Coturnix japonica: one gene and its partner. The protein of the gene in region 2 purifies or fractionates together with the protein of the main gene of each other region. This does not show direct contact. Links are inferred from orthologs where the notes say so. Each region holds a gene or a part of one and is shown on either strand. Other genes may lie near its edges.

Region 1 (3,812 bases), on a different chromosome or scaffold from region 2:
TCGAGGCTGAAGAATTCCAGCTCTCTCAGCCTCTCCTCATGTGTCAGATGCTCTGGGACTCCAATCATCTTTGTGACCTTCTTTTGGACTCATCTGCCTGTTGTGGAGACTAGAGCTGCTCCTCTCAAGGGGCAGAACTTGGCACTTCCCTTTGCTGAACCTCACAAGGCTCCTGCCTGCCCAGCTCTCCTGGCCTGCTGAGGTCACTCTGAATGGCCAGTACTAGCAGTACTCCCACTGGAGTGGTTGCTAAATAAGGCCAGCTCCACTGAGGGATAGGGGAAGAGAAGCCCTGTTCTGTGTAGGGAAACCACTATTGAAAACAAACAAGAACATCACAAAAAACATCACCTCTAGGTTACCCGTCCCACGTGTCAAACGGAACAAACAAATATTGCTCAGATACACAGAGAAACCAAACACAAAGTCCTGCTATGTGAAACCCAGATCAGTGAACTCAGCCTGCTTTTCCCAGCCCAGGAAGACTAAACAGATAGGAATGAGATGAAGCACAAGCTTTCACAGATGAAGAACCCTGAAAAAAGCCCCCCAAAACTAAACCAGAACAACAAGACCAGTTCTGTTGTTCAATATAGGCCTTTTCCACAGCCCCGCTTGCAGTAGAGTGGGCAGGGATCCAGGCACCATTTTGAGCAGCCTGTGGAGAATATTATCCTTTGTGTGTACGGTTAAACTCACCACACATCTATACAGCTTATTTATTGCTACCTGGGATCTCATCTTCTTACCTGGGATTCAGCGAGGTATCCGGTGTCATGCCCCTGATCAAGACCAGCCTTTACGACCTATTTAAAAACAACAATAAAGATTTCCCATGACTAAAGGCATGTCCACCAACAGCTGTGCTATCATAATTGCTTAGCTGCACCTCCCGTTTTCACCAGTGACCACTATTGAGTATTCAAAGGGCGCTTCAAACACTCTGGGTCCTGTTCATGCTGTTCAAAGCAAAGTTAGGAATCACCTTGTCCTAGCACAAAGTACCATGGCAGTGAGTTTTCTGTCAGGTTGGTATTTACACACACCTTACGGATTCAGGAATTGTTTCAGCAGGACTCTGCTCCTGTAAGGTCAGAGCTCTCAGTTAGAGGGTGATGTTCACAGGTTTTAGAGGTGAAAAGTCACTTAAAAGAAACAAAAATCCAACCAAGGATAATGTCTGCAATACAATGCCTGTTTTAACCTTTTGTGGGGTTAGTGTTAGGAAAACAGCACTGGTTTTATTGACAAAGTTTTACAGACAAAGTATTCCAACCTAAGCATTCCCTCACTTGGGTTTCATACAATCATAGAATGGCCTGGGTTGAAAAGGACCATAATGACCATCTGGTTCCAACTGCCCTGCTGTGAGAAGGGTCGCCAACCAGCAGAACAGGCTGCCCAGAGCCACATCCAGCCTGGCCTTAAATGCCTGCAGGGATGGGGCATCCACAGCCTCCTTGGGCAACCTGTTGTTCCATTACCATAGAAACTAACAATCATGTTCTGGGAAGCTATTCTGAATTTTACCATTTTTTGCTGGGCAGACCACACAACCAGCCCCCATCTTCTATAAAGATCAGTCACTACCCATGGCTTTGCTGAGAAGAAGGAAACACCAACCCTGTGCCCGTTGTCATGTTATTTACCCCAAAGATCCATCTTCATTTAGGTGGTTTTCTTATGTCTCACAGTGGGCATTACCTCAATGATTTTCAGTGGAGCAGGGTACAGTCCTTTGGTTTGCTTCTGAACTTTGGTCTCCACCGTCTTGTAGACTTGCTGCCTCACAAATGGAAGAGCCATTGCATAGTCTGTTAACCCTGCAAGATGGAACAAAGCATGTCTCAGCACAGTGGCCTGTAATCAGCCTTAAAATAACAAAACCAACAGTTAAATAGTAGAATCACAGAATCACTCAGGTTGGAATGGACCTTAAGGATCATTGAGCTCCAACCACTCTTCTGTGGGCAGGATTGCCAACCTCTAAACCAGGCTGTCTAGGGCTTGATGCAACCTGGAGGTGTGAATGTTGTGTAGCTGCAATATGAGTATGCACAAAAAACTCAGCTAATCACAGGTAGCATGATCTGCTCAGGAGGCATCTGTGGCTTTCTCTATGGATAAGTCTCTTCTAGGGCTAAGGTATCCTCCTAATGCAACTGCAAAGCAGACCTGAACAGAGGGATGTCAATTTCCAGGCTCTGTTAACTGTACAAGGGCATGACTAAAGAGGATCAGTTCAGGGCACACCACCATGTCACTCCTCACCTGATTACATAAGCTTTGTACAGAACCTGCAACTGCACAGCGACCTTCTAACCACCAACCCACCTGGCTCAGGAGACAACTTACAGCATCTAATAACTTTGCTTTGATGACAAAACTATGTAGGAGCATGACCTCTGAGCAAGGCTGGATTAATATTCACTACAGTTCTTTGGCTTGGGCTGTGGTGCCCAGACTTACTCTGTACTAGTCCTTTTGATCTCTTGGCAGACACAGTCTTGTTGGCTAACCCTCTGGCAAAGCCAATTGCTACCTCCTCCAAGTACTCAATTGTTCGTGCATCTGGAGCCTTCACACCTGGCCCTGTGAACAAAAGAAAAGTCTTGAGGAAACACAACAGAATTTACCATTGATGAGAGGGTGTGACAGTAACAGGATATTCCTTTTAACTGCTACCACTCTGCCCCCTGCCTGCTTGACTTTTCTTGATTCTGAAGGTCTCCAAGATATTTAGTGTTCATACTATTCATACAGAACTGCCAACGCGTCAAATCCCAATGGAAGCCAATGGCTGTACACCAATTAAACACAAACACTCATTTCAGAGAACAACAGAAAAGTTTTAGTTGGATGGGAACATGGCCAGACAGTCAGACCTACTGCTCAAAGCAAGGCCAAGTTCAAAGTCTGGTTTTAACTTGAGAATTCCATCAGGTTACTCAGGAATGGCCCTGAATATGTTTGGTCTGGCTCTGAATATCTCTGAGAATGAAGATCCCATCACCTCTCTAGATCCTTGTTTCACTGTCTGACTGTGAAGACCTTTTTCTAACACCTAACTATCATTTACCTTGTTGCTGTTTGTGCTCCTTCAAATAGCATTACCCCAGCTGAATGGCAATGTGAATACTCAGTAAGGAAGCCCCTTGGCACTGGGTGCTATTTGAAGGAACAAGAACTGCCTCCAATGATTGCACATCACCTTTTTTTGTGTTCCTTCTATATTGTAATCTGGATTGAGTCAAGGGTGGTAAGTTAGCCCTTAAAGGTAATTCACACTTCATATACACAGCAGTAAAGCTTCATGAGCAGATTTAACTCAAGCCTGTGCACCATGGAGCTATTTTATAAGTGAGAACCGAGCTAATAACATCTCATCCAGCTGGTCTGAGACAAGGCACACGGGAGCTTCCCTTGCATTTCTCAGGGTAGACAGCAGCACTTTTAAAATAGGCACACATATTTTCTTCGCATTCAGGAGCACTTGGAAGTGCAATCTGCTCTGCAGCCTGCAAGGTTCATCTCCATTCAGCTGAAAGTCAGCAATTCAGACTGCCTAAGCTGTTGGGGGTTGGCCTCTTCTCAAGATCTTGCCACTGGAATTAACATCTGCAGGCTGCATAAGCATTATAGATTCCAGTCTGTTCCTCTGACATGATAAATGAGGAATGTAGGTTCTCAACTTTATTATTAGCTTAAGCGAGAGAGCCAACACTCCTGATGCCCTCTATGCTAACCTTCCCCTGTTCACTTAGCTTTACCCTGACATTTAAAGATCCTTGTACCCATGCTTCAGCAGTGGG
Region 2 (4,375 bases):
TGCATTTGCTAATTTTTAGAACATTTGTGGTCAAATCAACGTGTCTAAAAAGTGAAAACATAACACACACACTTACCAAAGCTTGTTGTAGGCCTCTAGGCATTCTGGTTTTACATTGTGAACTGAAACAACAACATTAGATGAGAAATGCAGGAATGGAACAAAGAAACGGTAACGTTAAACATAAGAATATCACTCACTCTGTAGTTTATACAGACTGCTGGTCTCTCTTTTGGCTAGAAGGTTGGAGTGAGCATCTTTCCTTGGATCGACTTTGCGAACAAATAGCGATTTTAACCAACTGTCTTCACGAGGTCTGCTAGCTGAAGATACCATCCCCCTACATATTAACAAGTACATTACACTGTCACTGAGCACGTCTTGAAAATGCCCACAACGCAGGGAAGACGGGCACAATCAAGTATAATACAAACAAAATTATAACAGTTACACCCAGCTCTGTCCCTCAGTCTTTCCACTGAGCCACTTGGCAGCAAGGTAAAGGCAGCTCTTTTCACACTGGGATTTACCTCCTCACAAACCATTTTATGTGATACAGAGCTGAACACTTAACCACGCTCTCTCTGCTCTCATTCTTTGTAAGCAATGCAAGAAATGGGTAGGTGGCTGCTTTTGTTGTCTTTTTATATTCTTTTTAATTAAGTGTATTTGCCCAAGGTCTGTCTTGATGTATACAGACGGGAATGAAAAAGAGCAAGAAGTGGCATAAGGAAAGATTTGTACAGTGTAAATAAGTGCCATATGTTCCTATGTATGCTTAAATACAGCCCTGGAAAGGAAAAGTTAAGTGACACATCTATGGTATTTAACTGAATCTTTATGCCCCAAGCTTGAATGCTTTTTCTTCTTACTCAAAGGAAGCACTTCCTTCAGTCCACCCCTTTATGATATAGAGTTTCTGCTGAAATATTAAACTATTTATCTGAAGTACTAAGGAACCAGCAGCCCAGGTGGAAATTTAAACCATTTTCTATCTCAGAAGTCAACTTAATACCCTGCACCACTGACTATGAGATCCAGATGCCAGGTTTCGATCTTCAGATACAAAGCTTTCTTCCAGTATCAAAACTTTCTGACAATTCCTCAAAGGAAAAGAAAAAAATAGAAGAAAATATCAACTTCTTTTGGTGGAAAAAAAAATAAATCTCAAAGAACACAATTGTCTGTATTACACAGAAGGAATTCGCACCAGCAGCACTCCTCAACAATCAACATCTGAAAACCTAATGAACTGGGATACCCTGTGGAAGCAGAACAGATGAACTGAGAAGTATTTCAGAGCAAAGAAATAGTAAGAACCAAAACAACCACAGCCAAGACAAATTTTGATGCTAAGAAGTAATTGGTATTTTGTCTTATTTATTGAACACAGGGGTCTATTCAGCCCTAAACAAACATACAAGCACATTCCTGTCCAGTCAATACAGCTGTTGCCAGAAGAGGGTGGTACAGGAGGAGAGGTTTGATCTCAACTGAGGGAGGAGAGAGGCACAGGTGACAACACACCTACTAGACACAGAACTGGGCTCCAGGAGGTACGACTCCATTTCAGCCCTGCAGTGCCTGTTCTATCATCCTGTACACTACTGGTATATTCTCCCATTCAGAACGCTCTTCTATGAGGAATAAAACAAGTATTACAGATGATTATGCAATCATTTACTCAGGAACTATAAAGTTCCGTATCAACAAGGACTAATATACCACAACTAGCCATCTAAATGTTTACTTTACTTACAATAAAGTATGGTAACTGCTGAAGTTGATTAAAACAGCATCTCAGACGAGACACACTGAGTGTCTACAGCCTTAATTTTCACCACCATATCCCTTGAGATACACTACTGGTGTCCATCTGGACACCCACAAACCAAAATGCACTAAGCTGACTGCCAGCTCACCTGCCTGGGCCACCTGTGCCCATAGTCACCTCAAGAAGAGCCAGAATGCTCAGAATGAATATGTACACACTATAGGGAATGTACACACTATAGGGAATTACCATCACGGCTCACAACTTCTTATTTTCTAGGAATGATGCTTATTAAAGAGTTTTCATGCAACCTTTTAAGGCACTGCTTAACTTTGCTAGCCAATGCTTGTCCTGCAAATGTTATCTAAAGGCTCAGATTTCTTGCTACAAAGATTGGGCTGAGACCATAAGAGGAGAACAATGAATAACTTGGTCATATTAAATTAACAATGCTGCTGAGGACATTTCCATCTGCCTTTTGCGTTAGCATACAATATAAAGTGGGTAGAGTGGGAGGTATCAGGTGAAATATATAGATTCAGTAGTAATCAATGTCTGCCTGCAAGAGAAAGAAAAACAACTTGTCTGTAACAGGCACTTTTTAATTTGCTAAACAGACGTCAAAGCTGATTCGGAACTCAATAAGTACAACACTGTGTGCACCTGCTTCAACAAGCTGCTGGCAGCGTTAACCCCACGGGCATTGCTGCCCATTGTAACCCCGAGGATGTGTGGAGGACACACAGAGGTGCTGCCCATTCTAACCCCGAGGGCCCGACGCGGCGCTGGCCGCGCTCCTGACGCGATCCCCACCCCTGGGCGGACTCGGGGGAGGGGTCCGGCCTCGCTGCCCGTGACCTTGAGGGACGCCCCATGGCCGCACTCCCCGCCCTACATGAGGCGGCGGGCCCGGCTGCGGCCCTTCAGCGACAGAGGGGCGCCATTTCCAGACGGGAGAGGGGAGGCCGAGCGTGTGTGGCAGTGGGATCCGAGCGGGCGGCGGCTGCTCCCTCCCCCGCCTCCCCCTTCTCCCTGGGCCGCCCTCTCCCGCCCGCCTCGCCCCCCTCAATGCTCACCTGAGGGTCAGGCCGCCGCCTGACGGGAGACGCGGCCCCGCGCCCGCTCCCGCCGGGCTCCACCTCAGCAGCACACGCGCCGCCATCTTGGCTCCGGCCGCCTCCCTCCTGGGCCGGCTCTGGGGCTGGTAACGCTGTAGCGCCGCCGCCGGCAGAGGGGGCAAAAATGGCGGCGGGGTGAGGGGGGTCCTCCAGCCACGCCTCGGTGGCAGCAGCAGTGCGCATGCGCGGAAGGCCCGAGCCTGGAGCCCGCCTCCCGCTGGGGGGTCGGGGTCCCACGAAACAGCGAGTCGGGCCGAACGGTTCCGTTCCTGTGCTGGGGATGGAGATGCACGATGTATATTCACCTGACTAAGAGCCCACATTCCTTCCACTCAGCTGCAGGTCTTAATCAGCCAGCTGTAATTAATGACCTACATCAACCACCTCAACACACAGATCAACAACAGAACTACAGCCCCGGATTAAAGATGCCTTCCCAAAGTCACAGAATCACAGAATGCCCCGGGTTGGAAGGGACCTCAAGGATCATGTAGTTCCAACCCCCTGCCTGGCAGGGCCACCAAACATACACCTTTACTAGATCAGGTTGCCCATGGCCCCGTCCAACCTGGCCTTGAACACCTCCAAGGACGGGGCATCCACAACCTCCCTGTGCAGCCTGTTCCAGGGCCTCACCACTCTCCTAGTGAAGAACTTCCCCCTGACATCCAACCTAAATCTTCCCTCTTTCAACTTAAAACCATTTCCCCGTGTCCTGCTATTGTCAGCCCTTTCCAAGAGTTTACTCCCCCTCCTGGGAGTAAGTTCCCTTCAGGTATTGAAAGGCTGCAATGAGTCAGACCATATTCTTATAAACTTCCATCTTCCCATCAAGAGATCCATCTCTCTCAGATCTAAATGCTCTTTGGACAGGCTACAAGCAGCAATGCTAAGCTACCCAAACATTCTCACTTTACTGCCATAATAAAGGCAAGTGGTTGTAATTCCATCAGATCTTAGAAGTTAACACAGTGGTGGCAGGAGGAACTCACAGAGAAACTGAGCACACATGCAGGTAAGCTCCTTGTAAAGCTCCTAAACTTCATTTCAAAAGGTTTAATAGCATTTTAAAGCCTACAAATCACAAAAGATGGCCTGAAATACAGAACAATTAAAATAGAATGACTCTCCTACCACATATGGTAGTAATTTCATCTCTCGGTATAACAAGAGTCATTTCAAGTGAGCAGCTGGCTTTGGAAAGTGTCAAGGCTTTGGGCAGAACTACATGCAACAAAACAAAGCGTTAACATTTAACTCACATTTTCCATAGTTTCATCTGAGGCACCAAGTTTTTCCCATCTGGAACATCCTGTTCTTAGAAGCAACTACATTTGCTACTTATATTTTGACTACAGGTTTCACCAAAACATTTTTAACATACAATTTCAGGGCCCCAAACATCCCTGATAGAGATGAGCTGGAAAAGCCCCGTTTGATTCTTTTTTCTCTACTATTTGTCTGTTGAACAAACTTTAAGTTC

What was found.
Region 1: the proteins of NIPSNAP2 (region 2) and HADHA purify together in Homo sapiens (affinity purification with mass spectrometry; 3 studies listed by BioGRID and IntAct, with this or other methods). This does not show direct contact. The link is inferred for Coturnix japonica from reciprocal best matches to the Homo sapiens genes NIPSNAP2 and HADHA.

Annotation. Positions count from the first base shown.
Region 1 is NC_029518.1:95,806,528-95,810,339, forward strand, and holds part of HADHA (trifunctional enzyme subunit alpha, mitochondrial), read right to left. Parts: intron 2,593-3,812; coding exon 2,470-2,592; intron 1,824-2,469; coding exon 1,705-1,823; intron 807-1,704; coding exon 750-806; intron 1-749. UniProt on the Homo sapiens protein: Mitochondrial trifunctional enzyme catalyzes the last three of the four reactions of the mitochondrial beta-oxidation pathway.
Region 2 is NC_029534.1:3,695,037-3,699,411, reverse strand, and holds the start of NIPSNAP2 (protein NipSnap homolog 2), read right to left. Parts: upstream 3,041-4,375; 5' UTR 2,937-3,040; coding exon 2,851-2,936; intron 1,067-2,850; exon of another isoform or gene 1,030-1,066; intron 341-1,029; coding exon 201-340; intron 123-200; coding exon 77-122; intron 1-76. Other genes in the region: MRPS17 (28S ribosomal protein S17, mitochondrial), read right to left, coding at 4,346-4,375. UniProt on the Homo sapiens protein: Protein involved in mitophagy by facilitating recruitment of the autophagy machinery required for clearance of damaged mitochondria.